Arabidopsis thaliana: one gene and its partners. The protein of the gene in region 3 purifies or fractionates together with the protein of the main gene of each other region. This does not show direct contact. Each region holds a gene or a part of one and is shown on either strand. Other genes may lie near its edges.

Evidence for each region.
Region 1: the proteins of SYP42 (region 3) and AT1G27400 purify together in Arabidopsis thaliana (affinity purification with mass spectrometry, with the first as the bait; one large-scale study listed by BioGRID). This does not show direct contact.
Region 2: the proteins of SYP42 (region 3) and AT1G25260 purify together in Arabidopsis thaliana (affinity purification with mass spectrometry, with the first as the bait; one large-scale study listed by BioGRID). This does not show direct contact.
Region 4: the proteins of SYP42 (region 3) and AT4G32760 purify together in Arabidopsis thaliana (affinity purification with mass spectrometry, with the first as the bait; one large-scale study listed by BioGRID). This does not show direct contact.

Annotation. Positions count from the first base shown.
Region 1 is NC_003070.9:9,512,375-9,519,202, forward strand, and holds AT1G27400 (Ribosomal protein L22p/L17e family protein), read left to right. Parts: upstream 1-2,739; 5' UTR 2,740-2,855; coding exon 2,856-2,858; intron 2,859-2,954; coding exon 2,955-2,991; intron 2,992-3,109; coding exon 3,110-3,150; intron 3,151-3,253; exon of another isoform or gene 3,254-3,376; intron 3,377-3,629; coding exon 3,630-3,860; intron 3,861-3,944; coding exon 3,945-4,047; intron 4,048-4,137; coding exon 4,138-4,205; intron 4,206-4,303; coding exon 4,304-4,351; 3' UTR 4,352-4,696; downstream 4,697-6,828. Other genes in the region: AT1G27385 (phosphoribosylformylglycinamidine synthase), read right to left, coding at 197-446; TOM20-2 (translocase outer membrane 20-2), read right to left, coding at 1,095-1,226, 1,398-1,502, 1,677-1,724, 1,816-1,985, 2,072-2,150, 2,440-2,538; AT1G27410 (DNA repair metallo-beta-lactamase family protein), read left to right, coding at 4,852-5,143, 5,227-5,429, 5,513-5,620, 5,704-6,369; AT1G27420 (Galactose oxidase/kelch repeat superfamily protein), read left to right, coding at 6,734-6,828.
Region 2 is NC_003070.9:8,852,012-8,859,228, reverse strand, and holds AT1G25260 (Ribosomal protein L10 family protein), read left to right. Parts: upstream 1-3,354; 5' UTR 3,355-3,462; coding exon 3,463-3,490; intron 3,491-3,742; coding exon 3,743-3,908; intron 3,909-3,986; coding exon 3,987-4,077; intron 4,078-4,170; coding exon 4,171-4,229; intron 4,230-4,364; coding exon 4,365-4,425; intron 4,426-4,582; coding exon 4,583-4,673; intron 4,674-4,773; coding exon 4,774-4,850; intron 4,851-4,931; coding exon 4,932-5,066; 3' UTR 5,067-5,695; downstream 5,696-7,217. Other genes in the region: UMAMIT24 (nodulin MtN21 /EamA-like transporter family protein), read right to left, coding at 45-291, 735-851, 1,084-1,146, 1,340-1,503.
Region 3 is NC_003075.7:968,128-975,310, forward strand, and holds SYP42 (syntaxin of plants 42), read right to left. Parts: upstream 4,216-7,183; 5' UTR 4,066-4,215; coding exon 3,875-4,065; intron 3,705-3,874; coding exon 3,428-3,704; intron 3,115-3,427; coding exon 3,025-3,114; intron 2,917-3,024; coding exon 2,836-2,916; intron 2,589-2,835; coding exon 2,511-2,588; intron 2,427-2,510; coding exon 2,361-2,426; intron 2,254-2,360; coding exon 2,173-2,253; intron 2,080-2,172; coding exon 1,972-2,079; 3' UTR 1,867-1,971; downstream 1-1,866. Other genes in the region: AT4G02190 (Cysteine/Histidine-rich C1 domain family protein), read left to right, coding at 1-1,224; AT4G02200 (Drought-responsive family protein), read left to right, coding at 4,649-4,730, 4,937-5,070, 5,132-5,173, 5,403-5,480, 5,631-5,863, 5,959-6,076; AT4G02210 (Myb/SANT-like DNA-binding domain protein), read right to left, coding at 6,193-6,669, 6,760-7,178. UniProt on the Arabidopsis thaliana protein: Contributes to the regulation of secretory and vacuolar transport pathways in the post-Golgi network, and to the maintenance of the Golgi apparatus and trans-Golgi network (TGN) morphologies.
Region 4 is NC_003075.7:15,795,666-15,805,537, reverse strand, and holds AT4G32760 (ENTH/VHS/GAT family protein), read right to left. Parts: upstream 6,462-9,872; 5' UTR 6,163-6,461; coding exon 6,062-6,162; intron 5,655-6,061; coding exon 5,576-5,654; intron 5,265-5,575; coding exon 5,166-5,264; intron 5,086-5,165; coding exon 4,972-5,085; intron 4,757-4,971; coding exon 4,596-4,756; intron 4,163-4,595; coding exon 4,081-4,162; intron 3,973-4,080; coding exon 3,887-3,972; intron 3,522-3,886; coding exon 3,324-3,521; intron 3,005-3,323; coding exon 2,568-3,004; coding exon of another isoform or gene 2,422-2,567; exon of another isoform or gene 2,380-2,421; coding exon 1,706-2,379; 3' UTR 1,339-1,705; downstream 1-1,338. Other genes in the region: VTE1 (tocopherol cyclase, chloroplast / vitamin E deficient 1 (VTE1) / sucrose export defective 1 (SXD1)), read right to left, coding at 1-15, 316-557; AT4G32750 (uncharacterized protein), read left to right, coding at 7,447-7,822, 8,363-8,443, 8,699-9,123. UniProt on the Arabidopsis thaliana protein: Might contribute to the loading of the ESCRT machinery.

The DNA of each region.
Region 1 (6,828 bases), on a different chromosome or scaffold from region 3:
AGAGTTAAATTGACACAACGGAACAGTTTTTAACTTCCGACTAATGGCCGGGAAATACTAGTACGTCAATCGAATCTAAAAACTCCGTCTCCTATTCACCAAGGATCCAAGCATCCGATAATCAAATCCATTTCGGCCAAACGAACAAAACCACAAAAATTTGAGATACTAGGAAGAAATTAACGAAGGCGCGCACCTGAGATTGCCTTGAGAACAGCTTCTTGAGGCGGACCTTGATCGGATTGATCGTTATGGCTGCAATTAAGCCGAGTAGCCCGCTCGGGAACAGATGCAAAACCATTGAAACATAGACTCTTTGGCGCCGGGAACAAACCATGGACTGGAACTGATGCTGGAGAAGGAGGGAGAAAGAAGCATCTACGTGCGCCGGAAGTCCGTCGTGATTCCGATACGAAAACGGAACGCAAAATCGTTTTGCAAGCCATTTTTTGAAGCTTCTCTTTGGAGATGAGTCGAACGAAAAAAAGACACAACGCTGCGTTTGGTTATTTATAAAATTTCTGGCGTTGGCGAGGGATAAGGTAAAGACAGTTATGCCCATAGGTTTTTGTCTTCTGTTACCATTCGCTTTGGGGTTATTAGAGTCTTTCACTAGGCCCATTTGTGCAAGCATTTTAATTAAAGTTAGCAAGTGAATCTAATCTAATCATTTTAATCAAAGTTAGCAAGTGAATCGCACACGAAATCATCTTAAAGCGTGTTTAGTTAAGAGTATGTATTAAAGTACGTAACAAAAAGTACATAGCATATAGTTGAGAATACAGAATTGTTGCAACGGGAAATTTTCTCCTACCTTCTTTAGAGTTTCACTTCTCATAGGTTATTCTTACAGGAAGTTTCAGCATCTTTCTGTAAATAAGAAACTCATAGACATCGTGCAACACAGATAAGAAGAAACCAAAAACCGATATGAAGAGACAAAACATCCTAATAATAAAGTAAACAAATAAATTTGTTGGTACTATAGTCACAAACGGTTACTCTTCAACTTGGTACCAGGAAATGTAACTAGGTGTTTCAGTGTGCAGGCATTATTTCTTACGGAATGCTCATCACTACTATGGCTTTAGGCTTTATCTGGCAGGAGGTGGAGGGCCAAGGGATTTTGCCATGCCAACCCAAGCAACAATCCCACAAGCGAGAATTATCCAACCGCATACATCATAAGTGAATTCAGTGTTCCTCTTCTTCTTCTTACTACTCTGCTGCAAAAGCAAGGCAATTTCTCAGAGCAACCACGAAAACTTATAACCCACATATGATATGAGATTCTTTCACTCTCTGCTTATGTTCTTCTGAACATGCTGCTACTAGATAATAAGAAGATGACACTTTTCAAAACATTGGACAGCATACTTAAACACATGATAACTTACGCTAACATTAGATGAAGCCATTCCTCCTCCACCTCCTCCTCCTCCTCCACCTAGTATTTGCTGTCCCATTCCTTGATTCATAAACTGCATATGCAGTTCCGGGGCCTATTCACATAGACAGACAAAAACATGAGCTCAAATGTAAAAGAAATACAGAAGAAGAAGATGGAATAAAATGTTCTCTCCTTGTTATTATAACAGCAGCAATTGTCTCCATGATTAATGTTATAATTTGCGTACACAAAGATTGACTCTGAAAATGGAATGTTGAAATAATACCTTTAGTGAGGAATCCAAGGACTTGCGATATGTGTCATTACCTGGATCCTGAAATAATATAATAGTAAGAAGTTGGTCTCACAGCACTCACAACAACATAAAAGTTTCAAATTCAAAAGCATAAAATCTGAAAATGCACCTCATTTTCTGCTCTCTGGAAATATTCAGTGGCTTTATCAAAGTGCTCTTTTGCTTCTTCAGGATCGTGAACATAAAACGCGTGGGCGGTGTACGCGTTGGCAATACACCAAAGAGCCTGATGCTTCCCTGGATTTATTGTCAAGGCCTCTTCCAACTTGGAAATAGCATCTACATGATCAATAATATTTCGTTACATTTCAGAGCAAAGATGAATTTGAGGCGTTTATTTTAAGACATTAAAGAAGAGATCATACCATTTAACATGAGCTTAGCTTCAGGAATAGGCTGGAACTGTGAAAGTTCAAGTAAAGCTCCACCCCATTTCAGCAGATTCTACAGAAAATAAAAATGTTCGCAAAGGTATTCTTAATATGACCACATATCAAAAGAAACTCAGGAAAAAATGTAATTTCAGAGAAACATATAATCAATCTCATAACATAAATTATAATATTTCCATCGAATTCAAGACCTAAACTACACATAGTGACAATACATTCACGAAATCCATCTCCACAAAACATCCTTAATATTCGTTACATATCAGGTCCGATCATATTAATCGAAATGAAGCAATTTCACAAATTCTGAGGAGAGGGGAGGACAAGTAGAAGAAAGAAACCTCGGAATCAAGAGGATCGTTCTTGTACTGAGCCTCAGAATTTTTGCGAGCATGTTCGAACATGATAAGCCTTTCAAAGTCGGCGGTAGAGAACTCCATCTTCAGATTCAGGTGAAAGAAAATCTAGGGTTCGGTGTTTTTGTTACTGAGAAAAGTCTAAAGAGTTGTCTCGATGTGAAACAAGTTCCGAGGGTTTTAGCCTACAAGTCGGGTGTTACCAGCACATAATTGGGCTTTTTAAGCCTACTTATCAAGATAAGTGGCCCAGAAGGCCCATATGAACAAATAGTACTTTAATACACTAGTTCAACTAATGTATTCGCCGATTAGGGTTTCTTCTGTTTCACTATATATTAAGTGTCTCCAACTACTGAGATCTCTATCCTCTCCGTCCTCTGTTCTTCTCATTGGCCGCCATGGTAAATGCGTTACACTAGACTCGTCGTTACAACGTTTTCACTTCTAACTTATGCTCCTATACTTATGTTCTTCGTCTTCTTATTGTTTTTCTTCAGGTGAAGTACTCTCAAGAGCCCGATAATATCACCAAATGTAAGAACACTTTCATAGTCTCTGTTATTTTTTGCTTCAAGCTACACTGTTATTGGCTTACCTCAAGCTATGCAATGAGTATTCATTGAAATGGTTTCGATTGGTTTTGCGTTTGCAGCTTGCAAGGCGAGAGGAGCCGATCTCAGGGTCCACTTCAAGGTAAATTTCTTGTACTGATTCCGGATCTCAAAAATGAATTAGATTAAGTGATTTTCCTATGGGGATTAAGCTTGTAGTTTGAATAAAACCTGATTAACAAAAAGCAGGGTTCTGTTTTATATAACAGACCTCACGTAAATGTCAGGAAAATCGAATTGGTCATTGTGAATGGGTGAGCCAATGTTACTTCTAATAGCATATGGTTCAGTACATGATGGTACATTTTAGCTTAGCTCTGAATCCTTTTTCAATTTTCAGTATTGTTGATTAGGTCATGATTGTAGTATCTGGGTTTGTATAGATGTAGTCGTTCAATAATTTGCAATACACCAAATCATTTACATTAGGTTTGAGGTGCTAAATGTTACTGTGCCATTAGGTAAATAATCACACTGAACAGTATTGTTGTCATTCTAGTTTCATTGTTGATGATTTGGATGTGTCTAATTGTGTTTTTGAATTGAATTTGTATGAAACAGAACACTAGAGAAACAGCGCACGCCATAAGGAAGCTACCATTGAACAAGGCCAAAAGGTACTTGGAAGATGTCATAGCTCACAAGCAAGCTATCCCCTTCACCCGTTTCTGTCGTGGTGTTGGTCGTACCGCTCAGGCAAAGAACAGGCATTCGAACGGACAAGGTCGCTGGCCTGCTAAATCTGCTCAATTCGTTCTTGATCTTCTCAAGAATGCTGAGAGCAATGCTGAGGTTGGTTTTACGACTCTTTTTGTTTTGTTGCCATGGTGATTTTAGTTAGTTACTAAAACTTTTTGTAAACCATTTGGTTATCAGGTCAAAGGTTTGGATGTCGATGCCCTTTTCATTTCTCACATCCAAGTGAACCAAGCAGCAAAACAGAGGAGAAGGACATATCGTGCTCATGGAAGAATCAATCGTATGTCTTCTTTTCTATTCGACTGTTTTTACAACGTTTGTTTCTTCATTCACATTGTGCTGACTCTCGATTTAATTCTATCTTATGCAGCTTACATGTCAAACCCATGCCACATTGAGTTGATTTTGTCAGAGAAAGAAGAGCCTGTGAAGAAAGAGGTAATTTAATGATCCCAACGCCTCTCTGAATATCTTCAAATACTTATATTTCATCTTCATCACTGATCTCACATAATTTTTGTTGGGTTCTTGCACAGCCGGAGACACAGTTGGCAGCAAAGTCAAAGAAAGGAGCCTCATCTTAAGCTATAACATAGACAGTCTATTTGTGCTCACTTGTGTTACCCTTAATACTTTTTGTTAGCTTCTCTCTATAAGACCAATACTCAATTTTTAAGTATGATGATTATCGGTTTTTGGATTGCTGAAAGAATCTCTCTTTATCCTTGGTATTGATAGATGAATAACTCATAGTAAAATCTTGAAATATGTTTTAGAGATGGATTAGTTAAGACTTGTTAAATCGTCGCCCAGTTTGTTCATAACGCTCATTAATATAATGACCAATACATCGACTACACAGTCTGATAAAACGGATGGATTAGTTTTGAACTCGAGAAAGTTCGAAATGTTATGTTACGTAAGAGCAAGTAACACTTTCATTCGTTTGTAAAACCCAAAACAGACCCAATCATAAATCATCATAAACGGCCCAAAAGACGGAAGGAATCATCGTCACTAAGTGGGCAAACAAAAATGGTGAAACTGCAAAACACCTGCAATTTCAATTTTCAAGGAATCCGAAATGGAGAGTGGTCTGATATCAGTGGATCGATGGAGAAATGGAAGTCAAGCCTACTTCTTGACTCATATACACTCCGATCACACTCGTGGCCTCTCCGGCGGATGGTCCCAAGGTCCTCTCTACTGTTCCCGCACCACCGCCTCTCTATTTCCCTCCCGTTTCCCAGGTTTCGACCTCTCCTTGCTTCGCGTCGTCCCTCTCTTTTCCTGGACATCTCTCTCCCTCCGCTCTCCTTCCTCCGGCTCCACAGTCCGCCTCCATCTCATGGCCATCGATGCTCACCACTGTCCTGGTATGATAAAAGTCTAATCTATTTCTATATAAGGCTTCGCTTTCTCAGTGGTGAAATTTGAATTTGCTGGTATAATGTGGTAGGATCCATAATGTTTTTGTTCCGGGGAGATTTCGGATGTTTTCTCTACACTGGAGACTTCCGGTGGGATTCTGATGCATCAGACGAAGCTAGAACCACTCTCGTTGCTGCTATTGACGAGTTTCCAGTCGACATTCTCTATCTGGATAACACTTACTGCAATCCAATTTACAGTTTTCCTTCCCGTCTAGTCGCTGTTCAATTGGTTCGACCTAAACCCTAATCCAAAAGCCTTAAACCCTGAATCATGTTTCTCTTTGTTATATTCCTCATCTCCTTTACTTGCAGGTTGCTGATATAATTGCTTCTCATCCTTCACATGATATCATCATAGCAGTTGACTCTTTGGGAAAAGAAGACCTCCTTGTTCATGTTTCCCGCATTCTCAATATCAAGGTTTCTTATAGTAATCCTCTGCTTCCTTCATCATACTCCAAATGGATTAAGAGTTGAGTTTCTTTTCTTTGTATGTCCTTTAGATTTGGGTTTGGCCAGAACGTCTTCGTACCATGCATCTCCTTGGTTTCCAAGACATTTTCACTACTGATACATCTCTTACAAGAGTGCGGGCTGTCCCTCGTTATAGTTTTAGTATTCAGACTCTCGAGGGGCTGAATACGATGTGCCCAACTATCGGTATCATGCCTTCAGGTCTCCCATGGGTGAAAAGACCTTTCAAAGGAGATGACAAGCTCTCTGGTTCTTTTCTTACTGCAAGTATGAAGAATGAAACCGTTTCTGCGAAGAAAGAATTAGAAGCAGCTGCAGTGCATAAGTTCCATGACTATATGTACTCGGTGCACTACTCTGATCATTCATGTTATGAGGAGATTGGAGAGTTTATAAAACTTGTGAAACCAAAGAGCATGAAAGGAATTGTGGTGTCATCATCATCGTATGTTGACCCTCTTTACTACTTTGGGCGTATCTGTGGAGCCAACCAACCGCCACAAGTGCTGCTTATGAGGCCTGACATCGCAGAGGAATTTCGAGCTGTTAGGATTAAGTCATATTCTGCAAGTGACAAGACTAGAATGTTGGCAAAAGAAAAAAGGTGGAAGCGAGATAGTCATTCAAGTTTGAAGAGAAACAAGAAGAGAGCACGTATCCAAGTAAAGTGCGCAAAGATTTTAGAGGTTGATTAGCTCTACTTGCCTCTGGGTGGTGTCTCACGTTGATGTGGCGGCTTCTTTTTCCTCAAGGTTACAATGGTGTCTATGTGAATGGTCTAATACACAATCCTTTTCTATGGGAGGAGTAAGTAAAATTTAAGATAATATATGAATTATTCAGTTGAATAGAAAGTCACTATCTTTTAAAAAGTAAGCAGTTGTTTGTTTATGCTTAGTTAACAAAGTCTTGATTTTTAAATTCGAAAACACTTGGTCAATGTTTTTGTCTTTTGTATGTTATCCAAATGATTACTCAAACCATTTTTTATAGCAATTTTTGCACATTATTAAATGATACAATGAGTGATTAAGGGAATGAGTAAGTAACATCGTGACGATGGTGGTGGAGTCGTCGTCGTCTCCGATCATACCTGGCTTGACGGATGACGTGGCAGAGCTCTGTGTCTCGAAAATCCCGAGGTCTAGCTTTCA
Region 2 (7,217 bases), on a different chromosome or scaffold from region 3:
AAACAAAAATGCTTCATTTATTAAACAAAAAAAGTGACACTTGCCTGCAATAGTAACCAAAGTGAGGTGGAAACGTTACTGCCAAGAACCATAAGAACCCCTAAGATTGAGACGTGGTGGTTCGTAGTGGCTCGACCAGTATGCGAGCCTTTGAGTAAGTCAACGTGTGTTGACCAGATATGAATCTCAATACCTTTGTAGAATACAAACACGAGGGCTCCACATGCACCAAGCAGCGTCCCCACTAGCTTGGCCCTCCCTTCGTTCGATCCCAGCCGTAGAGTCTCCATCCTGTGGGCACGACAAATTGAGAGGATGTTAATTAGAACTAAACGTCATTTAGCCTTTTAAGTTCTTATCAGCTAGAAATTATTCAATCTTTAATCAATGGACAAGTTTGCAAATTAGCTAAGAGATAATATTCCTAAGTTTGCAAATTGAATAATAATCCCATTGCAAATTTCAATGGACAACGTACCATTGAATAATATTCCTCAGATTTCAAAAGTTATTTTTTTTATTTTTTTATGCACATGATTTTATTGAGTTTGTATTTTATCGTTAAGTATACTATGTTGACTAAAATTAATAAGGAACTCTATAAAAAAAAACTAAAACGTCAAAAAATATACAAACTGTGTATAAAATTTTGAGAATTTGTCTTCATGAAAAAAAACTGAAACACATAATTTCATGTAATGAAGACAAAATTGATGATACGCGTGTCTACTAACCTAAACACCAAACCCAACACCAAGGTGATCAATGGGCTAATTATGCTGCTTGCAGCTGAAAATGTCGCTGATGTTCGAGCCATACCCGGCAAGTAGAGAATATTTGGTATCGCCGCTCTGCATGATAGTCAAAAACCTAAAAAAATCAACGATAATTCCATGGGTGCTAAGGATTTAGGATTTATTTGCAATTTGGTAAGTCCAACATTCATCATATATTCAAACTTACACATTGCAACACTGTTTTATCTATGGAATTTAGGATTATATTTCAGTATATTCTTGCCATCAATAGATAAATAAATAAAATCATGTAGCTGAAAAGTGATATTGTACTAGTTCTGAGTACCCGAGCAACCCCGAAACAAATGCTAGTAAGAGCAGCCTCCATGTAAATTCTGGCCGCTTCTTCCTGATTATAAGAAATCCAAAACAAAACATTATAATTAAAATAAACTAACATTGAGTAATAAGTGAATACAAATACACACAAATAACTTGGTGAAGTTGGGGTTATTTGAAGAATATGTGCATATATAGATAAGGTTATACATTAAAAAATGCACACTGATAAAAATAAAAATGTAAGAAAAAGAGTAGGAAACCTTTGGAAGATGAGGGCAAGGGGAAGCATGAAAATAGTAGCAAAGGACAGACGATACGCTACAAGAACTTTGAGATTCGTACCATCGTCGACCGTTATCTTAAACAAAATGAACATCCCGGCGAAGATAAACTGAACCGCCACCATTGCAACTACACTCTTCATTTCTCCCCACATTTCTCTGATTTCGCCCCACAGTTTCTGATTTCTACTTTGATACCCACTCTAAGTCTCTAACTATTAACTATCCAATCCTGTTAGCTCATGATCAGCTCTATTTATGTAGCCAAGGTGTTTTCGTCTTTAATTCTACCTCTATACCTTTTTCATTGTGCTCCACTTCAATTGTATTAACTGTCCAATCCTCCTAGCTCATGATATAGGAAGATGTGAGATTCAAATATTTGTTTCTGGAAACTCGTTACTAAAGTAGCAAAGTTTGGAAGGATTAACCTTCTTGTAGACAAAAGAAAAGAAAAACAAAAGAGTTTATGTGTTGAAATGTATATTCATGATCAAAGGGAAAACAGAATACAAAGTGAAGACGTAATGCAAAAATAAGACGAAACTGTTTATTGTCGTTCTATGAAAGGAGCTCCACAAGCTTTCAAGAGCGTTTCACTGCAAAAGAATCTTTTTTTTTTGCAAAAGCATTTGTTATAACATGACAAGAAAACTATTATACATTTACATCGATGCCACACATTCTTATACGAACGGTAATGCGTTTTACTATATGAGCCAAAATGACAATGCAGAAACATGCTCGGTGCTATTAACATTTATTAAAACATAATTGTGAAGTTAAACAAGATATAAATAAAAGTAACATATTAGGTTGACGTTGACACGTGCTAAGCATGCTTTGTGGCTTTTCCGCGATGGCTTTGCCACACACAAGAACTCCAAAAGAAAGAAAAAGGCTCGTATATCATTATTGTCAGTAAGCAACATGCGTACGTAAAGCCAAATACACTTGGTAAAGATCCAAATGTGGAAGTTTTGGGCTTGGATTCTCTTTCCATTCTTCTGCTCTCTTTCATGTGACTTGCATAAAGATGATACGACCAAAAGTGAAAACCAAGTATCAATTCATACATACATATTATAAGAATGAGAAAGAAAAAAAGTTATATTCATACTGACCCAATTAAAATTTCACACACAAAAAAACCTCTAGAGAACGTTATGATACCCCAATTGAATGTCATATATTTTCCATCATTTTCTTTTATGCCATAGATCGAGCCACTATCAATACCACTAGCTATAACAATCTCGAGCGATTTTTGTGTGTTTTTTTAATTCCCCCGACGGAACTAATTCCACTCATCTCTTGATCTTTTCGCCATATAGCACGACATATATATAGCCCACATACAATCAATATTGCTCCTAGTAAAAATAAAAATAAATATATTGCTTCAAGTACACTTCAATTTGAAAACAATAATATAGTGTATGCTTATAAATATTATCAAATCTTAATAAATAAATTGTCTTTTACCTTCCCAAATAAACTTCTCGTCCAAGAACAAAACACAAGCCACGGCGACTACTACGAGCATGAGAAGGGTTGAGGACTTCTACAAATGAGTGGACCCATCCCCTTAGTCTCGAACAAATTGCCAGTAGTGAGATCACTACTCACTACTAATGGTTGTTCCTATTGTTCCCTATACGTTTACATTGTTTAATTTCCGAGCATTCATATAAATAATTTATAATTCATTATTAAGAGGTTTAATAATATGATTTTGAAAGTACCACTTTTTAATTAATTTTTATAACATTAAATTTAAAACTTTAATTTCTTAACTTAAAAACTTTTGCACAACAAAACAAAAAAAACTAAAAACACTATAATCCATTTAAATTTAAACTAGTACACCCTCCAATGACAAAAAAAAATCGGCCCAGATTTCTGATAGCTAAAAGGCCTGAAACGGGCCGGATCCGGATCGGGTTGAATTAGGGGTCCAGATTAAAAAGTGCGAATTAAAGCAAACAAGGGAACAAGGGTTTCAGTTTCCCTGAAGAAAATTGAAAGGAGCTTAATAAACAGAAGCCGTTCTCCTTCACTTTCGTTCCTCTCACTTCCATACAACATTTGAAACCTCAGCTATGCCTAAATCAAAGCGAGATAGACCAGGTTAGAACTCTTCTTCCTTCACTCTTTCTGCTCTCTATTGTCTGAACCATTGTATCTCTGTCACTGGTTTTGGAAGCTGTAACTTTTGTAGCCGCCGTCAAGGGTTTTAGGGTTTTGTTAGGTTTTTAGAGGAACCCTTTTGAAAAAAACTTTAACTTGTTGGAGTTAGTAATGTTTTTTCATAGCTTCTATGGTTGAATCGATTGATGAATGGTTTATCTAAGGGTTTTGTTTTCTGATTTTTTGCTGCAGTGACTTTGTCTAAGACGAAGAAGAAAGGAAGAGAGCATAAGGAGTGTATTGTGAATGGAATTAGGGAGGCTGTTGAAAAATATTCCTCTGTCTATGTTTTCTCTTTTGAAAACATGAGAAATATCAAATTCAAGGAGTTTAGGCAGCAGTTTAGGCACAATGGAAAGTTAGTTTCTTTGTCCTTCTTCTGGTTGATGTTAGAATTACTTGAATGTTATGACTGACTCGGTTCTTATTTGTCTAGGTTCTTCCTAGGTTCGAACAAAGTGATGCAGGTTGCTCTTGGTCGTTCTGCAGAAGATGAACTCCGTTCTGGTATCTACAAAGTCTCCAAGGTTTGTGTATTCTGCTTCTTACAATGGTTCTTTTATGTTAAATGGTCATTTTTTGTCAGTTAGATTTACATATGTTGTGGAATGTTGTTTCAGCTGCTTCGTGGTGATACTGGACTTCTTGTTACTGATATGCCAAAGGAAGAAGTCGAAAGGTATCTATCTATGTATCTCTTGACGTCCTCTTTTTTCCTCTTTTGCTTTGGTGAAACAACAGTGACGGGTTTGAATTGTATACATGTCTAGTTGTTGTAACTGTTCACAATACTTCTTCTGGTTGTGTATTGCAGCTTATTTAACGCTTATGAGGATTCCGACTTTTCAAGGACCGGAAGCATTGCAGTAGAAACGGTTTGTGAACAGAACTTGTGCCATCTCTATATACTGTTGTTTCTAGATAAATAAATAAGCTTGACTATGATCAGGCTCTGCTTCTCTTTGTTATTTAAAAAACTTTGTTTCGTTACTTTTATCTTAATTACTATATTGGTACCACCTAAATGATTAGGTTGAACTGAAGGAAGGTCCTCTAGAACAGTTCACACATGAGATGGAACCACTTCTTCGGAAGCTTGAAATGCCTGTACGACTAAACAAAGGTCTGTCGTCTCACCATCTTAATATTCCTCTTTCTCATACTCACTTTTGCTATCTATATTAATCCAAAAACTTATTTCTTCTTCTTATTTTAATATGTAGGTACTGTGGAGTTGGTCGCTGACTTTGTAGTTTGTGAAGAAGGAAAACAACTTTCGCCAAAATCAGCCCACATTTTGGTAATAAGACTTCTGTATACCAAAACCCTTTCCTTTTAATTTGTATGCTTTATTTCTTATACTTGTTTGTTTACTTTGCAGCGTCTATTGCGAATGAAGATGGCTACTTTCAAGCTGAACTTGCTCTGCAGATGGAGCCCTAGTGACTTTGAGCTTTACAGAGAAGATCTGTCAGAGCTTTACCGAGAAGATCTCTCAGACGTTGAAACCTCTTAGGAAGCCAAGATTTTGACTCCACCCTTTAAATTTTTCTTAATATCATCACTATCACATGGATTTTATATTGTGGCACATGGTTTGCATTCAAATGTTTTAAGTCAAAGTTTTGCTTGCTTTACATGTTTTGTAGAATATCAACTTATCTTCAAGAACCCCCTATCCTAATATTGGCAAATCAATCTTGAAAACCTTGTTTTTCTTATTCAGCCACATTATGGAATTTCTTACTCAATTTGCTTACTTTTTACAGATTTATAGATGGTGTTGGGACCGAATTAATTGGCATGCGTATGATAATTTAAAGCAAGTTTTTCTTCTTGTCTTTAAAATTATTGTGGTCCATGGGCTTGAGAGCAGTCCAACAACGTTCACACGTCGTCCATCTCTTTTGATAATTTCTTGTTTTTTGTTTTTTTGTTTGTTTTTTAGCAATCCGAAACTATTGCGTTTGACTAGGTGAGCTTAGAGTTGTGATGTTAGGGATAGAAGCAGTTTTCTACGAAAGGGGTTGAAGATACTATGAGGCGAATGCGGTTGAACAAAATAGAACCCACCGGAGATTTTGGTAAAAGATTAAACGGAAAGGCGATACTTCCAACTCCGACGTAACAAATGTTTAGTTGTAGATTTTCAACATTTTATGAATTTTGATAACATATTTTTTAATTAAATTTTGGTTAACATATTTTTGTTATAAAAAAAAAATATATACATAAACTACGGGTTCTCTCATTTTAAACAAGTATAAGTATACTATTATGTCTTAATATATTTCCTTAACATTACATATATATATATATATATATATATATAAAATCGAAAATACGATATTCTCTCATTTAAATATACTCAATCAAATATCAACTTTCTGTTTCTTGTTTTCTATCCGCAGATAATGCGGGATAAATTGTTTCCTAATTCATGTATGGGACTTTTATTGGATTTACGGAGTTTGCCTATACAAATTTAGGTAAGTTAGATTGGAAAAACAAGTTCCATATACTTTATCCTTAATTTTTTTGCTTATTTCTTCTTTCCTAATGAACAAAAAGATTTTGTTAAAAAAAAAAATGTAAATCAAGGAGATCACGTATTGAGGTGAGATGAGAAAGAGAGAGTGTGTGGCTTTAAAGAAGGAATAGGATGGAGTAAGAAAAGTGAAAAAGGAGAGAAGGAAGGAAATCATGGAAGTGAGTGAAGAGTCAGGTGAGAGAGACTGAAGCCTGACTCCTAACCACCATTTCAATCTTTTTGGCACTGAAATTCATGTCGTTCCTTTTCCTGTAAAGGAAACGACAACCACTTCTGCTCTTAAATCACCATTTACTCTTCTCTCTCTCTCCTATGCGTTTCCATCATTACATTTGTGTAATATATGTATCCACAGTCCACACACTCTCTTTGACACTGATTTTGGCTTTTTCATGATGGGTGGGCATCTTTGAATTTCTTACTCCCATTTTATAGCACATGGTTTCTCATACTTGTAAATATGCCAAGATTGTACTGCTTCTTATTCTTTTATATATAGTAATAATGTTAACCAAAAAAGAGTGTTTGTTACGTTAAACTCAAAACCTTTAATTAACCATTTCAAGCTCACAAGGGATGATATAGTCCCTTTCACAATGTGTTTAATTAAGATATGTATATAGCTTTCAAATGCAAACAATTTTCTTACCATATGGTCAATTAAACAACAACCTAATGTGTTATATATCCGTCACTAGTGTATGAAACTTTGACAAAAACTATCTCCAATTTTTTATTTTTTTTTGTAATTGGAGGCAATAAACTAGGAGCCTAAGACACCACTTTTTTTTTTTGGTTTTCTAATACATATGCCTTTTTTAGTGTAAAAGGTTAAAATATTTTTTCATATGGCATCTTGCAAGATTCCGTCTTTATGTGAGAGAGATGATTTCTTGTTTGGTCGGATTGAGACTAAGCTACAACTACGAGAATGTAACGATGGGAAAGAGAAAGAAGCGACTCGTGATCATATTTTATTAGGTGTACATCAATCATTTCCACCTGAGATTCGTATGCAGAAAATTTGACCTCTCTATCATTTTTTTCTCTCGAATTTAATGCAATTACTACTGCTTCCCCTCCTCAATCAATGCTCCATTCATTATTTTTGTTTTG
Region 3 (7,183 bases):
CTCCCAAGACTCGACTCTTTTACATGTAATGCTTGTGGGCTGAAGGGAGATCGAAGCCCTTACATATGTGTTCAATGTAATTTCATCATCCACCAAGAGTGTCTTACCCTTCCACGCCTTATAAACATAAATCGGCATGATCACCGTGTTGCTCGCACTAATCTTCTGGGTCTTGTATATTCTGTGTGTGGAGTTTGTCGCCAAAAAGTGGATTGGACTTGGGGAGGTTATTCTTGTCAAAGGTGTTCTAACTATGTCGTTCATTCCAAATGTGCTACAAGAAAAGATGTGTGGAACGGGAAAGAACTCGAAGGAGTTATTGAAGAAACAGAAGATATAGAGCCGTATGTGGTAATAGATGACAACACAATACAACATTTCAGCCACGAAGAGCATTACCTAAAACTCGACGACAATGGTGTTTTATGTGATGAAAACAAGCGGTGCAGCGCATGCACCCATTCCGTTTGCCTCGAATCCTTCTATGGTTGTATGGATTGTGACTTCATTCTTCACCAAAACTGTGCTAAATTTCCTAAAAGGAAACGACATGTGCTACACAATGAACGGCTTACTTTATTTACACGCGAGGCTGGTCACTTTTGGTGTAATGTTTGTGGTAGAATCTCCAATGGTTTCAGTTACCAATATGGGGATATGAAATTAGATGTCATATGTTGTTCAGTGTTGGAGCCATTTGTCCATCCAAGTCATCCCGATCATCCCTTATATTACATTTCACCAGAGATGGAAGAAGTCTGCAATGGTTGTAACATGTCGGGAACTAGAATGCTCAGGTGCATTGAAGATGGTTGTGGATTTGTCTTATGCTTCAAATGCGCCACTTTACCGCGAGTGTTAAAGCATAGAGTTGACGATTATCCTCTCTTACTATGCTATGGCGAAAAGGCAAATGGTATATATTGGTGTGAGATTTGTGAGAAAAAAATGAATCCAGAGAAATGGTTCTACACATGTAAAGATCAATGGGCTAGTTTGCACACAGAGTGTGTAGTCGGAGACTTTTCAGGGCTCATGCCAGGAAGCGTAGTAAAGGCTGAGACGGGATCATATGAGGTTGTGCTCAACAAGAATGTATCTCGCCCGTTTTGCAGGCAGTGTAAGTCGCATTGCATGTACCCTATCATCTATAAGATACCTGAAACCTCAGTTTCTTATCTTTGCTCTGATATTTGCATAAAGCGTTTTACAAAGAGAGACTGATGATGTTTAGTTTTGGGCTTTGTGTGTCACACACGTTTTTCTGTGTTCAAGAAATTATTAGGGTCGTTTGAATATTTTTCCTTTATTTTTCGTTAAGGTTTTCCGTTGAATCCTGGTCCAAGGAGGAATCGAGTCTTTGAGTATAAATAGAGTTGTATCGAGTATTTGTTCTTCAGTCTTTTGTTTTAAGAAAATCAATAAAAAAACAAAAAGAGGTAACCCTAGTTACCCAAAGAGCTTGTGTTTGCATAGCACTGAGAGGAGTACTCTCGGCTCATTGTTCTAGTTCAAGAGGACGATCATCGTCTTGCACGAGTGTCACAAAATTTTGTTTAACATGAGCCTCAAAACAACTTGTCACGAGTTTCTCTATGAGTTTATATGTCTAGGTTTGCTAATCTAAAGTGTGTGAAGCCAACGCATTCGTTTTTGTTTTATTTTTTTCTCCCTTGCACAAAAAGATCATTTTCAATTTTTCATTATGAGTTGATTACTTGATTTCCTTCATGTGTTATTGAATTTGGAGGACTAGTGATTCTTGTAGTGATTATCACATTTTCCCACTAGGTAGTTTAGTGTCAGTTTATTTCTTAACTATAGTGATTTTAACCATTTACGGTTTACACAAAATACTTCTACAGATTTGGTAAAACGATTGGAAAAGAGAATTCAACTAGAAAAAAGAGAGGGTTACTGTTTGTTACAAACAAGACAAGCTGTTTTTCATTCTAAATTGTTGGCATATGACTAAAACAAAATATTCTTAAGAATTAAAAGAACAATCATGATCAAACAGAGTACAAGGAGTATAGTTGCACATTTCACCATTGCTCCTTCTCTTTGTGTTCTCTCCGCCTATTTAAAAATTGAAATGTCTTTGTGAGTTCCATACGGTGAAAAATCTGTAGTACTCACAAAATCTTATGAGTTTTGGGTAAAGAATCAAACCTTTTGTAGTTGTTTATAGCCTTCCTCGACCGATGTAGAAACGTTTTGGACATTGTAGTCTATCCGATCAACAATCGTGCCCTAATTGATACAAGAATATAAGAAAACTAATTGTTGAGAAGCCAGCAAAAACTTTGTATCTAGCCAGTTATGTAATTCATAAGCCTTTTAATGACTAAGCTAGGCACCTGGTCAATCACAAGGGCTGATAAGTCTTTCATTATCTGTGCAAGGTCATTCACGGAACCCAGAACCTAGACAGAACTCTGAAGTTAATCGCCATCGAAAATGTGAAGCACGCAGCTTCTTAAATATGGTCGAGTAACAACTTCCATTACCTGTTGTATCTCTCGTTCCCTTTCCGCTGAGACATGTTGCCCTTCCTTCAACTTGATTGTCTGGTGTTCATCGAAACCCTACAATTTATTGAAGACCAGCGATTCTCATTATGGTATTGGCAGAGTAAGGACGACAAGGTTCTGAAGATTGATTAAAAAAAATCTGACTCGTCCTAGCATGATAACCATAAGAAGTGTTTCTTAAAAATGTAAGGAAGACAAGGATAACTGATTAAAAATCTGAATTGCTCTAGCTAGATAACCATATTAAGTCCTTATTAATTTGTCAATGATATATAGTTTTACAATACAAGTAAGCACTTACCATCCCACCAAGTTCATCCTCTTCATCCAGTCTCGACATCTTTCCATTCACATTAAACTCTAAATCTACTTCATCCTGACCCTATGATTAGAGAAGCCAAATACAAATAAGAACATCATATTACGGTACATGCATGTCTCAAGAATCAACACTTTTTTTGTTTATTTCTTGAAAATAAAGGAAACATACCTCTTTCTGCTGCTGCAGACGTTTTAAGTAAGTAGACTGTTTTCTGCGGAGCTCCATGGAAAGGTTCTGAAGATCTGTTGCAAGAGAACGCTGTCAAAAGCAGTATGCCAAAAAGTAGGTCAAGTCCATTGGAGAGCCCCACTATACATGTACACAGAACTTTATCCTCATGCTACAAACTCAAAACATAGAATAACCCAAAGTACATTATATAGAGGGAAAAAAAAACACTTCATACATTTTGCTGACTGATAATGTCAACTAGATAGGTAGTCAAAACATATGAGAGTGATTTAACCCAAAATTCCTAACTTTCTTCTCTAAAAGCACAAAAGAAAAGGTAATGACCATGCATTCTTTATTGTTAACAAGCTCGATTCTGAAAAAGTGTCCAACAACCTACCTGCACATTTTTCCTGAGATTTGATTCTTCAGAAGGCCCTCTAGTAGATAACATCTGCAATCTCTTTTCTGACTTCCTCAACAAATCTGTGATCTCATGAGTGAGCATCTCGACTTCACGATGAATCCCTTTGTTATCTCCAAATGTAGGCATAAGAGCCTTTGAATGTGCCTTTGCTAGTTCATTCATTTTGTCTCGCACCTTTTGTATATTAAAAGTTATCTCCTCAGAATCATCAACCCAAGCTGGTGGCATACCAATTGTGAAGGCATCACTACTGCAAACATTCACAACAACACTTAAATCATTTGCTCATTCTGTTACCTAATTCGTTTAGGGTTCTAATTCTGTATCTCAAATCAATCCCATGATTACAATTCGTTTCTATATATAAGTTCATAGAATTTCCCAGGTTTTGCAGAATCAAACAACACATTATATTATTACCTTGATGGACCAGGATCATAGGAATTCAAAGGAGCATAAGAGGAGTGATTGGACCGGGAAAATGAACCGCTAACCATTTCGATCACCGGACCACCGAACGAATCAGACGCCGATAAAGATAATGGAGCACGCGCGCTCTTACACGCATCCCTGTGTTTCCGGTACACCGTCGTTCGATTCCTCGTCGCCATCAATACCAAATCAATTGATTCTCAACAGAATCTCGAAAGTAAAATTTCCCGGAGAAAATAAACAAAATCGGAGCTTTTGTCGTCGGCAAAAGCAAACGAATCTGAATCGCAAAATCGTTTCTCATTAGCGCGTGTTACAGACTTAGCAACGAAGGAGAAGTATTTGGGCCTTTTTAGGCCCATTTATATATTGGGCTTATAGTCCACTTGCGCGATAGGGTCAATATAAGTGTGTGGAGCACACGTTTTAAGACGGTGGCGCAAAGACGAAAATGCCCGTAGATTCGTGGCGGCTAAAAGTCAACAGAGGGACGTTGGTGGTTCAGGGTAAAAGAGGCTATAGTGACCGGTTAGGGGTAGTTTGGTCATTGGATTTAGCTCAATAGATTCGTGTCCATGGATTCCCTCATGTCGCCAGAGAAAAAGACCACATTTAAAGGTCTTGCCTTTTTGGTGTGTTTCCTCGCACTTTCAGGCTGAACAAAGTACTGACAGATGCTAATAAATACACGGAGGAAGAATATGCTCCTTTAATTATTATCTGAGATTTTTCAATTCAAGTTCGTGTGGATTCAGAATCAAAATGGAAGAAGATTTGTTGGGCATTTGTGGGTTTGATTCGTCGAAGAAATATCGATTAGAAGAACTTGCCAAGTATCAGTCGGGTTAGTGTAAAGATCCATTCTTTTTCCCAATTGCATTTAGCTTTGTTTTAGGGTTTATGCTTTATATGCAGGTGGTTTTAATTTCTTTATCAAATTTCAATTCTTTTGGCCCTTAAGGTCTAGTGAGTTTAAATTTTGTCACTTTATGGGTAAACTTTATGTTATGTAATTGATAAAAGTTTTGTGATGGTGAAATTTTTGTTTAGGTTCATGTATTGAGTTTGAAGATGATGATGAAATGGCAGTGGATTATCCATGCCCGTTTTGCTCAGATGATTATGATTTAGTTGAATTGTGTCACCATATCGATGAGGAGCATCAACTAGACGCCAACAATGGGGTAATTGCAACTCGTATCCATCTCCCAAATCAGTTACTGTTCTTTAAACTATACATTTGAGTTTTTACATGAAGCAGTTAGTTGTAAATTTAGACTATTTATCGTGTGATGTTCATTGTTGTACTCTAATGGTTACTTTAGTAGGCAGGATTGTGATTCTGTAAGGAGAGTTGGTAGGGACTTCTTGGATTTTAGTTCACTTGGATTATTTGCTTGATGCTATGAGGAACCATTTTGTAGTTGTGAAGTGTTTGGTGTGAGAAATGAAAACAGTCTTTTGGTGATGATGAATGTAATAACTTCTCACAAATTCAGCTTTGGTTGTGATGTAGATATGTCCGGTTTGTAGCAGACGAGTGAAGATGCATATGGTTGATCACATTACCACTCAGCATAGAGATGTCTTCAAGGTATCCTTTTTTATTTACTCTTCTTGCTTTCGTTACCATTTAGTAGAAAACTTGTAAGTCTTTTTGTGCTTATTCTATATCTTGGTATGTTTTATATCGGTTATCTGACATTTGTGTTCCTTGACGAATACTTACCTTGAACAAAAGCAGAGACTTTACAAGGATGAGTCATATTCAGCATTTTCTCCAGGGACTAGGAAATACTTACAGTCTCTAATCGATGAGCCGTTGTCTACTAATCATACATCTAAAAGTGTTCTGGACCCATTATTATCATTTATATACAATCCGCCGTCACCAAAGAAGTCCAAGCTTGTACAACCTGATTCATCTAGTGAAGCAAGCATGGAAGACAATAGCTTAATAAGGGATTCAACAGAAAAGTAAGTAATTCTTTGACATTTTCTTGATTCTGCTTGCTTTATCTCATCTTCTTAAACCTTGTCTAAAGATACATTTCGTATTTCTGTGTGCTCAGAGACTGGGAATCGCCGTCTCCCTTGTCAGATACAGAGCTACTAGAGAAGGCAAAGAAGAGAGAGTTTGTACAAGGTTTAATATCATCAGCCATATTTGATCACATTTACAACTTCTAAGAGCATAAGTCTTTGTATATGAAACTCTCGCAAAGTAGTCTGTACTCTGTAGTATAAGCCAATGAGCTTCTGTTTATCGTCAAACTTCTACTTTGCTTCTTTACAGCTCATAATCCTCAAGTCACTTGAGGTCGGAGTTTCCTTAACAACCACTTCTTGCGTAGTTTCACATCTAGAGCCAAGAAAGTTTTCGCCTTGAGTTTATCTTCAAGCAGATCACAAGCATCCAATATAAGTTCATCGTCCATGTCTGGTAACGCTTGAATAGCCTCAACCGTGTCCTCTATTGACATGGTTTGGGTTTCATCAACTCGAGGCTTTTTCGGGTTTATAGGGCTTGTATCAGTATTAGCAAGTTGATCTCTTTTGTTCTTGGGGTCAAACAAAAGAGAGTTGCTATCTTCTTCCTCAGCTGAAATAGACAAATCTGTAGTACCACTGGACTTAAATTCTTGGAATTCAGTTTCAGGGTCAAACCAATCCATAGCTACAAAGCATTCGTTTTCTTCGATCCCAGAATCGCCACAGAGCACACACAGATCTTTATAGTACGGAATTGGCCGAGTCATAAATTGCCTTGCATCTCTATGAGCCTGTGATTAATTCAGACAAGAACACACATCAAAACAGAGACGAAAACACTGTAACTAACCACACAGCATAGATCAGAGCGATTAAGTTACCTTTATATAGTCTTGCCATACATTATTATCAGCTGTAACCATTTGACGCTCATTATCCCAAGCAAACCCATCTGATCGAAGAATACTCTTGATCGCGTTGAACTGTCTTCTCAGAGACTTATACCGGTTCTTCAACACATCAACATCAAAGTTAGACTCAAATTTCGCATTGAAGAGATTAACCATCTCAGTCCATGCTTGTTTCCTGAAAACACCTTCAATCTGGTTTCCTCTCCTCGCTTGGTCCAACATCAGATCAATGAAATACCGGTCCATTGGAGGATGCCAAGTAGTCCTGCACCGTGTGACACTGCTTCCTTTTGAGTTAGACCTGACTGTTGACGATTCACATATTCTGTTGTACCCATCATCTTCCTGAATCAGTGTCTTGGATTCTCCCTCACTAATACTCTCCTCAGCTGAA
Region 4 (9,872 bases), about 15 Mb from region 3:
CCATCGAAATGGTATCTGCATTTTTCAAAAGTTAAACAATAAGTTATCAACCATAAAAAAAAAAACTCTCTGATGTTAAATTGCATTTTTCAAAAACTCAAATTCAAAAGTAGTCGTCGAATGGTGAGCCACCAAATGAATAAAAATAAAATCTTACAACTTTGTAATACTCAAAACATACTGAAGCATTTAAAGGAGCAATTTTTTAAGTCCCACTGATCGTAAGAAGAACATATAAATTAAAAGACGAAACTGAAATTGGAGCTTAATAAAACAAACAAGAGAAGAGAAATGGAATGGAATGGATCAATTTACCCACTGTGAGGAGTCCGGAGTTCGCGATTGGGAGACGTCGGGACGTAAACAGGTTTAACGGAGATCTTGTCAGTTTCACTATTCGGGGTGGAGATCGACGCCGAAACCCTAGAAATGGAGCGGGGAACTAGTTTAGTCGATCGGAACGGAACTAGTGAGCGAGTGAGAGGAGATACAGGGCGAGAGAGCTCAAAGGAAGATAAATTAGGGTTCATAGAAACAATCAAGCTCCGTATCTCCATAATGGAAGAAGAAGAAGAAATATGCAAAAGAATGTGAAATTGTGTGTTTGGTGTTGGTGGTGACAAACTCTGTGAAGAATGCAGAGAGGAAGAAGAAAAGGACGAGAACGTGTGGCGGTAAGTAGTTACGTGGCAAACCCCAAACGTAACGTATTTTTATTTTGTTAAATTAACAATTTCTCGTGTCTTGTTTTCAGTAATTTACGGAAATTTATTAGAGACAACATTTCACAAACAGACGTGAGGAGAATCTCTACAATTTTAATTGAAATCGTATTTTGAGATTTTTTTCCCTTTTAAAATATTTACAAAAATTCTGAAGAGAGCTGAAAAGAAAACAAAATAGAATACGTCAACAGCAGGATTCGAACCTGCGCGGGCAAAGCCCAATTGATTTCGAGTCAATCTCCTTAACCACTCGGACATATTGACAATTTTGTTAGACAGACTCTTATACAAATTAATATATGCACGATCCAAAAGACTGATGATGATGAATGGACTAGATTTACTCTTCTTCATTTGTCTCTTGTTTCTTTCTGTTAGACTAGATTTCAAAAACCCAAACGAATGGCAGGTTTTTCTTGTTTACGACGAGCAACATAAGAACTAACAACAGTCGCAAACAAAACAAATCCTTCCTTTCTACTTTTTCGGTAATTGACATCATTGAGTCGAAAGAGATTATATAATGCAAGCATAGTTTGACATTTTGATGTCTCCATTGACTATGGAATTAGGGTTGCAATCATATACAAAGAACATAAACTGTCCTTTTGGCAAATTTAAGAACCATAACTCTCATCCAATTGATATCAAACTTTATTGCCAATGGATATAACAAATAAAAGGTCTGAAAATACAAATGAGAGATTAAAATGTCCTAAAATAGAATCTCGAGACAAACCCCAAATCGCTGAGTTCTCAACAAAAGATTTTCCAGTTTTCTTTTCTCTACAAGAAATATACAAACCCATAACCAACGGTAAATTATAAGGAAGAACATAACACATATGTATATCTATGTTATCTCCCAAGAGGGTAATAAAATCAATGATGAAAAAAGCTTAACAAAGAGAAGAAAGAGAGTTAGCTGAGGAGGATAGAGGAGATGAATACTGGTAAATGATGAATGGATGGAGGAATTTTCACATGGTACCAGCTCTTCCGGAAGTCGGTTTTGTAGGCTTGAATTTGGAGATGTCCACAAGATCCCCAAATAGCTTGTCCTCTGGTTTATTCTTAGGTTTCATTGGAGGCAGATAAGATGTGGTAGATGATGATGATGCTACCTGATGCGATGTCTGGTCTCTCATGGATAAACCGTACATTTGCTGGTCCAGATATGGGCTGCTTCCTTGTTGCTGTTGATTATAGCCATATCCGTATCCTCCCATCTGGTTTCCATACGCCTGTTGCTGTTGTTGTTGCTGTAGCTGTTGCTGTTGGGCATAGTACTGAGCCATCATCATCTGCTGCTGCTGTTGTTGCTGTGGTTGATAGCCTGACCCAAGAGCCTGATTTGGTTGGTTTGGCATGTACACGCCGTTTTGTGGAATTTGAGGATATGGACTGATGTTGGCAACTGCTTGACCTGTTTGGGGCATTTGAGCATATGGACTGTTATTGTTGACTGGTGGCCCGGTTTGGGGAATTTGAGGATATGGATTGTTGTTGTTAACTGGTTGAGCATGTGTGAAGGCAGTCTGAGTTGGATGCATTCCAGGAGAAAACGGACTTCCTGACTCCGCAGAGGGACTATAGTCTTGGAGCTGAGCTTCCCATGGGGGAGGTGGAAATGCCGTACTGTCTTGGGCACCTTCTTTATATTACAAGATTACCATAAAAACAGAACAATTAATGATTAGACATGAGACACAATTGAAGCTGATTCTTCTGAATCCAAAAGAAGGAAATTCTTTCTCCTTGTTGCCATAACCAGAGAAACATTGGCATACTGCAATCTAATCTCCAGATGTGTGAAAAACAAAAACTGTTTATATATATTACCATAAGATGGCTGGACTGGTTGCTGTGCAGGCTGACTGCTCCAGGGAGAAGAGACTCCTTGCCCGTATGATGGCTGCTCAAACTGCGAATAACCCACTTGAGGCGCAAATCCATTGGATTGTTGTAATCCAGCTTCTCCAGCTTGACTATTTGGTTGTTGGTGCCCTTGAGGATTCAAAGGAATATTCTGAGCTGGATTGCCACTTGGTGCAGTTGCAGGACTTGGATTATTAGTATTATCTGAGAACATGTCGATAAGGGCGAGTGCATTTTGATCTGATGCAACCGGACTTGCTGGCTGAGGAGGTCCAACAGGAACAAGGGCAAGATCATCGCCACTGAGGAGGTCTATTTTGGAATTGGCTGAACCATTAGTTACAGGTGGTGCAGGGAGGGCCAACTGATTTAGAACCCCGTTACCAGAGCTCGATGTAGCTCTGTGAAAACGTTGGACAGTATAAATCAATAGCTATGTTATAAGACAAAAAAAAAACTTTTACAAGGTCACTTGGCCTGAAACCCCAGTTCTTACTTGGTTAAGAGACAAATTAACACCGTTTATATTAAAATGATTATAAAGTTACTCCCAGATTCATAAGTAACTTTTCGTTTTCACATCCTAGATTGTAATAGTTTGGACGTGCAAGCCATATATCGAGCTCAAGATTGCAGCTAGGATCGGTAACCCATATCCAAAAATAGGTGATTTTATCCAACATTCTTGGGTGCATAACAGTCAAGTTTGGTAGAACGTACCCGTTCGCCTGATTACTGCTGTCCCCTGTATCAATAAGTGGACCATCAACATCAACAAGGGATTTTCCTGTCTCGGACTTGGGCTTCTCGATCTGAGAAGAAGTTCCAGGTAATCCAGAAGCAATTGCTTCATAATTGGTTAAGACACGCTGCAAGTCATCATTCAAAGCCAGACCTTGACATAACAAAGACTCGTCCCTGAAAAACAAAGTTGCGAGGTAAAGAAGAGTACAAAGAAACATAAGGTCTGAAGCATAATAGCAATTCTAACTGTATTATTCCACACGATACTATCTGAAACGTGAAGTAAGTAGCAGCATTAACTCAGACAAGTACGGATTTCAGATAATTCTTAATGAAGTCCTCTCCCCACCCTCGTCCATAATAAACCAAAACCCACACAAAACACGAATCATTTCCTGCTGAATCTAGTGGTACTATGTATGCATATTAGAAGATGAGAATAAAAAAAAAAATCGTCTCGTACCCCAAGAAATATAACTTATATGAGACATGAAAGAGATAATCAAATGGAACCGAAGAGGAAAATAAAGAGCTCTTACGAAGTCGAGTTGACGAGGTGCACCACTCTTTGTTTGTATGTACGACACTGCTCCACCAGATCGACCATAACCTCTTGTTTGAGATCCTGAATAAATCCAAAAACGAGAAGAATGATCATTATTTAGTATATTTTGGGCTATAGCCTACACTTGTAAACAGGTAGCTCAAACACTCTGCAACTAAATCGTGTTACCTCCTTGTTTCCGGGCTCTAATGCACTCAGCATCTCCGCAAGCACATCCATGATACCTTTTGCATTTTGAATCTCCGACAAACTGAAAAAGAATTTGACATACAGCAGAATAAAATTTTGAGAAGCAATAAATACTGAGCAACAAAGGCATACATATACGTCCTAAACAAAGCAAGCAAACAGACACAAAGTTAAAACTAGCAGACCCTAGTGAACATGCCTATTAAGTCTTACAAGAAAAAATTGAAACTCCGTTACTGCAAATGCGTGCATTTTTCAAAAGCTAGAAGGCTTTTGCTTAAGTGTGATTATTTTCTTGATTCCTCTTTACTTCGATTCATCCTATATATAGGCTTCCAACTAGGGAAGGACGTTGAACAAAAAGTAGCTAAACATATATTACGACAATTTGTTAGATATAGCAAGGACGTTGAAATTTTCCCAACAAAATATTGTATGCTTTTGTTAAAAATTTATGAACTTAAAACTGCGGAGTTGCAACAGAAGATATCTACCTTAGAGTCGGAAATTCTGGCTCTGCTGAAGGTTCAGGCACATCATTACCAGGTCCAGCGTTACGAAGATTTGGAGGGTAAGATGTCAAAGGCTGTGTTTGAGGAGGTGTGAACACAGGAGCTGATCTCTCTGATCTCTGAGGGAAAACAGCACCAGCACGCTGAAAGGGACATGAGTCACTGGTGGTTAGGCAAGAGTAGTAGAAGATTTTCTAACAGAACTCACAAAAGGATCTAAGAAGAATTCATTATGAGATGTAATAAAATTTCAGTATGAGACATCTGGACACCCAGAATCAGAAACACTACTCTACTGAAGGAAAAAAAAATGAAACCCAAAATAAGTATATCAAACAACTAAATTATGTAGACATACCAACAATTCCTGGTATCCTGCATAGTATTGTGGATATCTTGCCCTAGGGCCACCAAAGGCCTCTTGCCATGTATCGATAAGGACCAGAATCTTCTCTTTGACATGGAAGTCCGGCTATATGCATCAGACCAATTAGGATTAGAGAGGCAGAGCAAGGGAGAGAGAAAGAGAGACCAATTTGGAAGAACCATTACCTTCTTCTTAACTATCCGGACCATCTCATGAATAACACCTTTCTCAGCCACATGCATATGAACCATGTCACCACAGTTCTTCACTATTGTCTCAAGCAGCTAGAACATAACAAAAAGCATGACGATGAGTGAATAACTATCATTGCAAAACAAACAAGAAAGATGAAAAAACGTGAAAATAATTATCAGCATATCATTCTTGTTAGAAAACTTGTAAGTCATTAAAATCCTCATCATGTACATTAGTATCATGAACAAGTAATCTCTGATCATGTCAACTTCCACTAATAAAAGAGGTTTGTGAAACAAACACGCTATCCAAATGCACCGTTTCAGAAACAACAGTGGCTATTTCAATGAAGTAGCCATCAAGGAAAATAAAAAGGAGAGACAGTTATCTAGGAGCTCACAGTTAAGGCAAGAAGCTGAGCTTTTGGATTCCTGCTACCAATCCGTTTTTTAATGCCTTTCACAACATCTTTTGCTTGCCTACAAAACAGGAACCAGTTTCAGACATCACATAGTATTGGTGCAGTTAGTACACACACTGAAATCTCCTTCTTCCAATCACAAAGCATATAAAGAAAATAACTTGAGAGCTTCTACAATTAAAGCCCTATGAAAGATGACTAAATTGAGCAAAACAGTAGGCCACAAGTATTCCAATTGGTCCTAGAAAACATGGAAATATCTAACTCTGGTAAAGAAACGAAATTTGATTTCCATCTTACTGTTAACTCTCTCTCTCTCTCTCTCACTGAACCAAAAATCCAAATCCGTATAGAGAGTTACAATAGTTTACAGGAGACTAATCGAGAAGTATAGAAAACAAAAGGTAGAGAGAGAGAGAGAGATAACAACAAAAACAAAATCGGAGGGAGCAGAGGGAAACATACGCTGGATCGCTATTGAGCATATCACAGATCTCGAGGTTCATAGCCCAATCAGGCCCGATCAGCATCTCGCTCGTCGCTCTCTCCACCATAGCGTTCACCATCTTCGCTTTGACCCCCAAACAGAAAAACAATTAACCTCCGATTGAAAGAGAGAGACGAATTTTGAAACCAACGAATCAGGCGAAGACGAATTAAGCAGCCGGTAAGATCACGCAAAGAGATTACTCCGGCGAAGAATCTCTCGCTCAGGAATTCACGCCCTTCTCTCTTTCTACTAGAAATCTTTTTTTTTTCCTTTTCTTTTCTTTTTCTCTAATTGTTAATTTTCAGAATTTGTTTTTTAAAAATGTATTTTCTGTACTTCAGATCATTTTTTATTTTCCACGAAATAGCAAAAAAGGAAATAAGTCGAATATCTTCTGGAAAAGGGTCCACTAAAAGATTGCCACGTGTTCATATCGTTGTGTTTGGATAGTTACACCAATTCAGTCAGGTCATTGCTTTCCATCGGACCGTTGCTTTTGACCCACCTATAAATCCGACGGTCATCGTTTCACTAACAGTAAATGTTAGTTATTAGTATTATTATTTTTTCGTTTTTGGGAGCTAAATATAATAATGTTATCCAATCTAAATGAATGAATTAGATTTAGATGGAACATTACAGTTTGATGATTGGTCGATTCTCAACAGCTTACAATGTTTTCTTTTTAATGATCGAAACAAAGTATTTGCAAAACAAAACTAACCAGCGATTACGATTGCGATTGCACACGTATGCAATTAATTATGAGTGTCATTTGATAACGCTATGAAACCGTTAAATCCACATCTTTACAAAATTCATCATAAAGAAAACATTTTGGTCTTATGAAAGTCGTGATTGGTGTGATACAAACCTAAACCAACTTGCTACACATCTATTTACTCTCTATTCTATTCTATTGAGTTCTCGTTTCTTTATCACTTTCTGTGTTGGATGTATTCACCCACTTGCAAAAAATAATTTAGATTTATAGACATCAAAATTGCATAAGAGTGTTAGTTCTAACTTCATCAGTTGAATTAATTAGGACTCTATAGCTAAGCATATTCTAATTCTATGATTATGATAATAATTGAGCGGGAAGTGGGGATAGATTCGAACTTTAACAAACTATTGGGGGTCAAACTGTAATTACACAGAAGTTATCAAAGCAAGTACCTTTACACGCGCCTAATTGTTTCTGCATCACTAATACTTCTTCCTCATTTCCCCAGTTCGGTGTTCATTGATTTAGGGTTCCTGATAAACTTCGGAAACCCCTATTTTGAATTGTTTCGGAATTATCTGGTGAGAAGGGTCTAATTCGATTGTGGATTAGTTTTTTTTTTGTGTTTCTTCAATGGCGATCATTGGAGATGCGTTGCGTCAAGCGTTTATGCCAAAGCAAGAGTACGAGAGCCTTAGGGAAGAAGATAGAGCCTGGATTAAGCTTCAGAGGCCGACTTTAGTCTCGATCGTGGCTTTCCTTTGTTTTGTCATCTTCACTTGCACGATCGTCAGCTTGAAAATTGTATTTCCTTCGAATGTTCTTAAGAGGCCATTTTGCAGCGACATAAAGCTACAACCTTTGCCTATCTATGGCAAAGCTCGTGACTCCGATCTCTTTCCCGGTGCTTTTTACTTGACCGATCAAGAAACTGTTGATTATTACTGGATGGTCGTTTTCGTTCCCTCGACTATAATTTTCCTTGTATCATCTGTTTATCTTGTAGCAGGTGAGCGTCAAGTCTCTAGCTTTTGTTCTTCGTTATTTCATATCTACAGAGCTGGGTTTGCATTTGTGTTTTGTTGGCTGATTTCATTAGATGATGCTCAGTTCTGAGTGGCTTTACGCTAGATATTGATGCTTAGCAAATTTCTGGCAAAATGGCTTCTGAATTTTTCGATTGGTGAGGTGAAATATTGTCAGAGAGGGTTGATTGATTGATGTGTCCTCAAAATCTGAATGCTCGTTGTTATGTTTAGTTCTAGAATCACTCGTTTTGATTGAAGCCACTATATAAAGACAGGTCTGATGATGGTTCAGGTTTATTGGGATTTTAGGGGGTTAGCCATAGAGCAAGCTGTGGAGTTTGCTAAATCCAGTTAATTCCTCTGCTAGATTTTGTTGGATTTGAATTTTATATGGATGTAACTTAGTGGAGCTGATTTATTTCCTTTATTGCTTTCTGCCTCCACATGGCAGCCCTTCTAAGTTTTACAGGTGTGGTATGTCTGCTGCTTATTATTCTCGCTATTTTGTTGCAATACTGCAGGAATTTTTGTGGCTTATTCCGCTCCTCACCGTCATGGGTTTCTAAAAGTCGTTGAAAATAACTACTGTGCTTCAAGAAGAGGTATACTCTCTTCTCTCTTTAATATGTATTCAGCTTTCCATATTTGTTCTTTGTATATCCATGCATTCGTGTAATAGATTCATTCCTTTTCAGTGCCAGACTTTATCTTATAAATTTTTATGTGTAATTCTATTTCATCTGCTAGTAATTACTATGTTTCTACCTTTGAGAATCTGGGCTCTTCAGAGTTTATCACTAAGCTTGGACCTCAAAATAGGTTATTGATCTTCTTTATCATGTCCAATAAATTCACAGGTGGGGTCCGTTGTCTGTCAATTCTGAATGTTGTGTTTGCTATCATCTATGGTCTCCTTGCTATATTTCTCGGCTCAAGCCTCCTCACATTAGGAAGCAGCTGTTCTGTGCCTTTGTTTTGGTGCTACGAGATTTCTTCATGGGGTTTAGTAATCTTGTATGCTGGAACTGCTTTCTCCCTTAGAAGAAGAGCTGCTTTAACTATTGACGAAGGAGAGTTTGGGAACAGAAATGATCAGGGCTTGGAGATGCTTGAAGCTAATCCGTTGGAATTCACACCAGACGTTGAAAGACGAGTGAACGAGGGGTTTAAAGCATGGATGGGACCATCTTTATTATCATCTGATGAAGAAGAAGACGAACCTGACTTTTACAATGAAGTGCCGAATGTAACTCATACTCTTTCAAGCAGGCAAAGATCTTGATTCTTGCAAAGAAGAATTTGGTATGACACTTATGCAAACCTCCAAAGATGATTGCTTCAGAGATTGGGCTCACCAAATTGTTCCCTCAGTGATTCTCGGGTTATTTCATGTCTCTGCTTTCTGCTGATGTTGTTTATGGACGGATCATGAGAAGATTTTGATCCGGAAGATAAATCAGAACGGTTAGGACTGTTGCTGTTGTAGATATACACATAGTGGATCAATCAAGATTGTGTTTGGTTCTGTCTTTTGAGCAGTTCATGGTCGGTTTTGATCGTTTACATTGTTCATTGTAGGAATCTTGGGTTTGTAGTATAGGCCTAACAATACATTTTGATTGTACAATAACCTTTAGATCAACAGTAATAGCATCATAAAAGGATTAGTATTAACTTCCAAGTCCTATAAAAGAAGAATCTGTGTCTACACAATATCATAATACAAACTTTGCTGGTTTTTAATGGTTTTATGAATCAGTATCATACCTGAACATTGTGAAAAATTCTTAGCATTTAACAGAACAAGAAGAAAATCACTTGGTTCATCATGAGGACGAGAACTTTTGGAGTTACAAGTTAATTACTTGAGAACAAGTTACTTTTTCGCTATTTAATCAATGGTATGATGTCCAGAGTTGAGAGATCTACACATTTAAAAAAATTAGAAACAAGAAAATTGGACAAGGAGGGAATAAAAAAGACATACACATATGGGATCAAAAAATTGAAGGCGAGACTCCCTTCAGAACT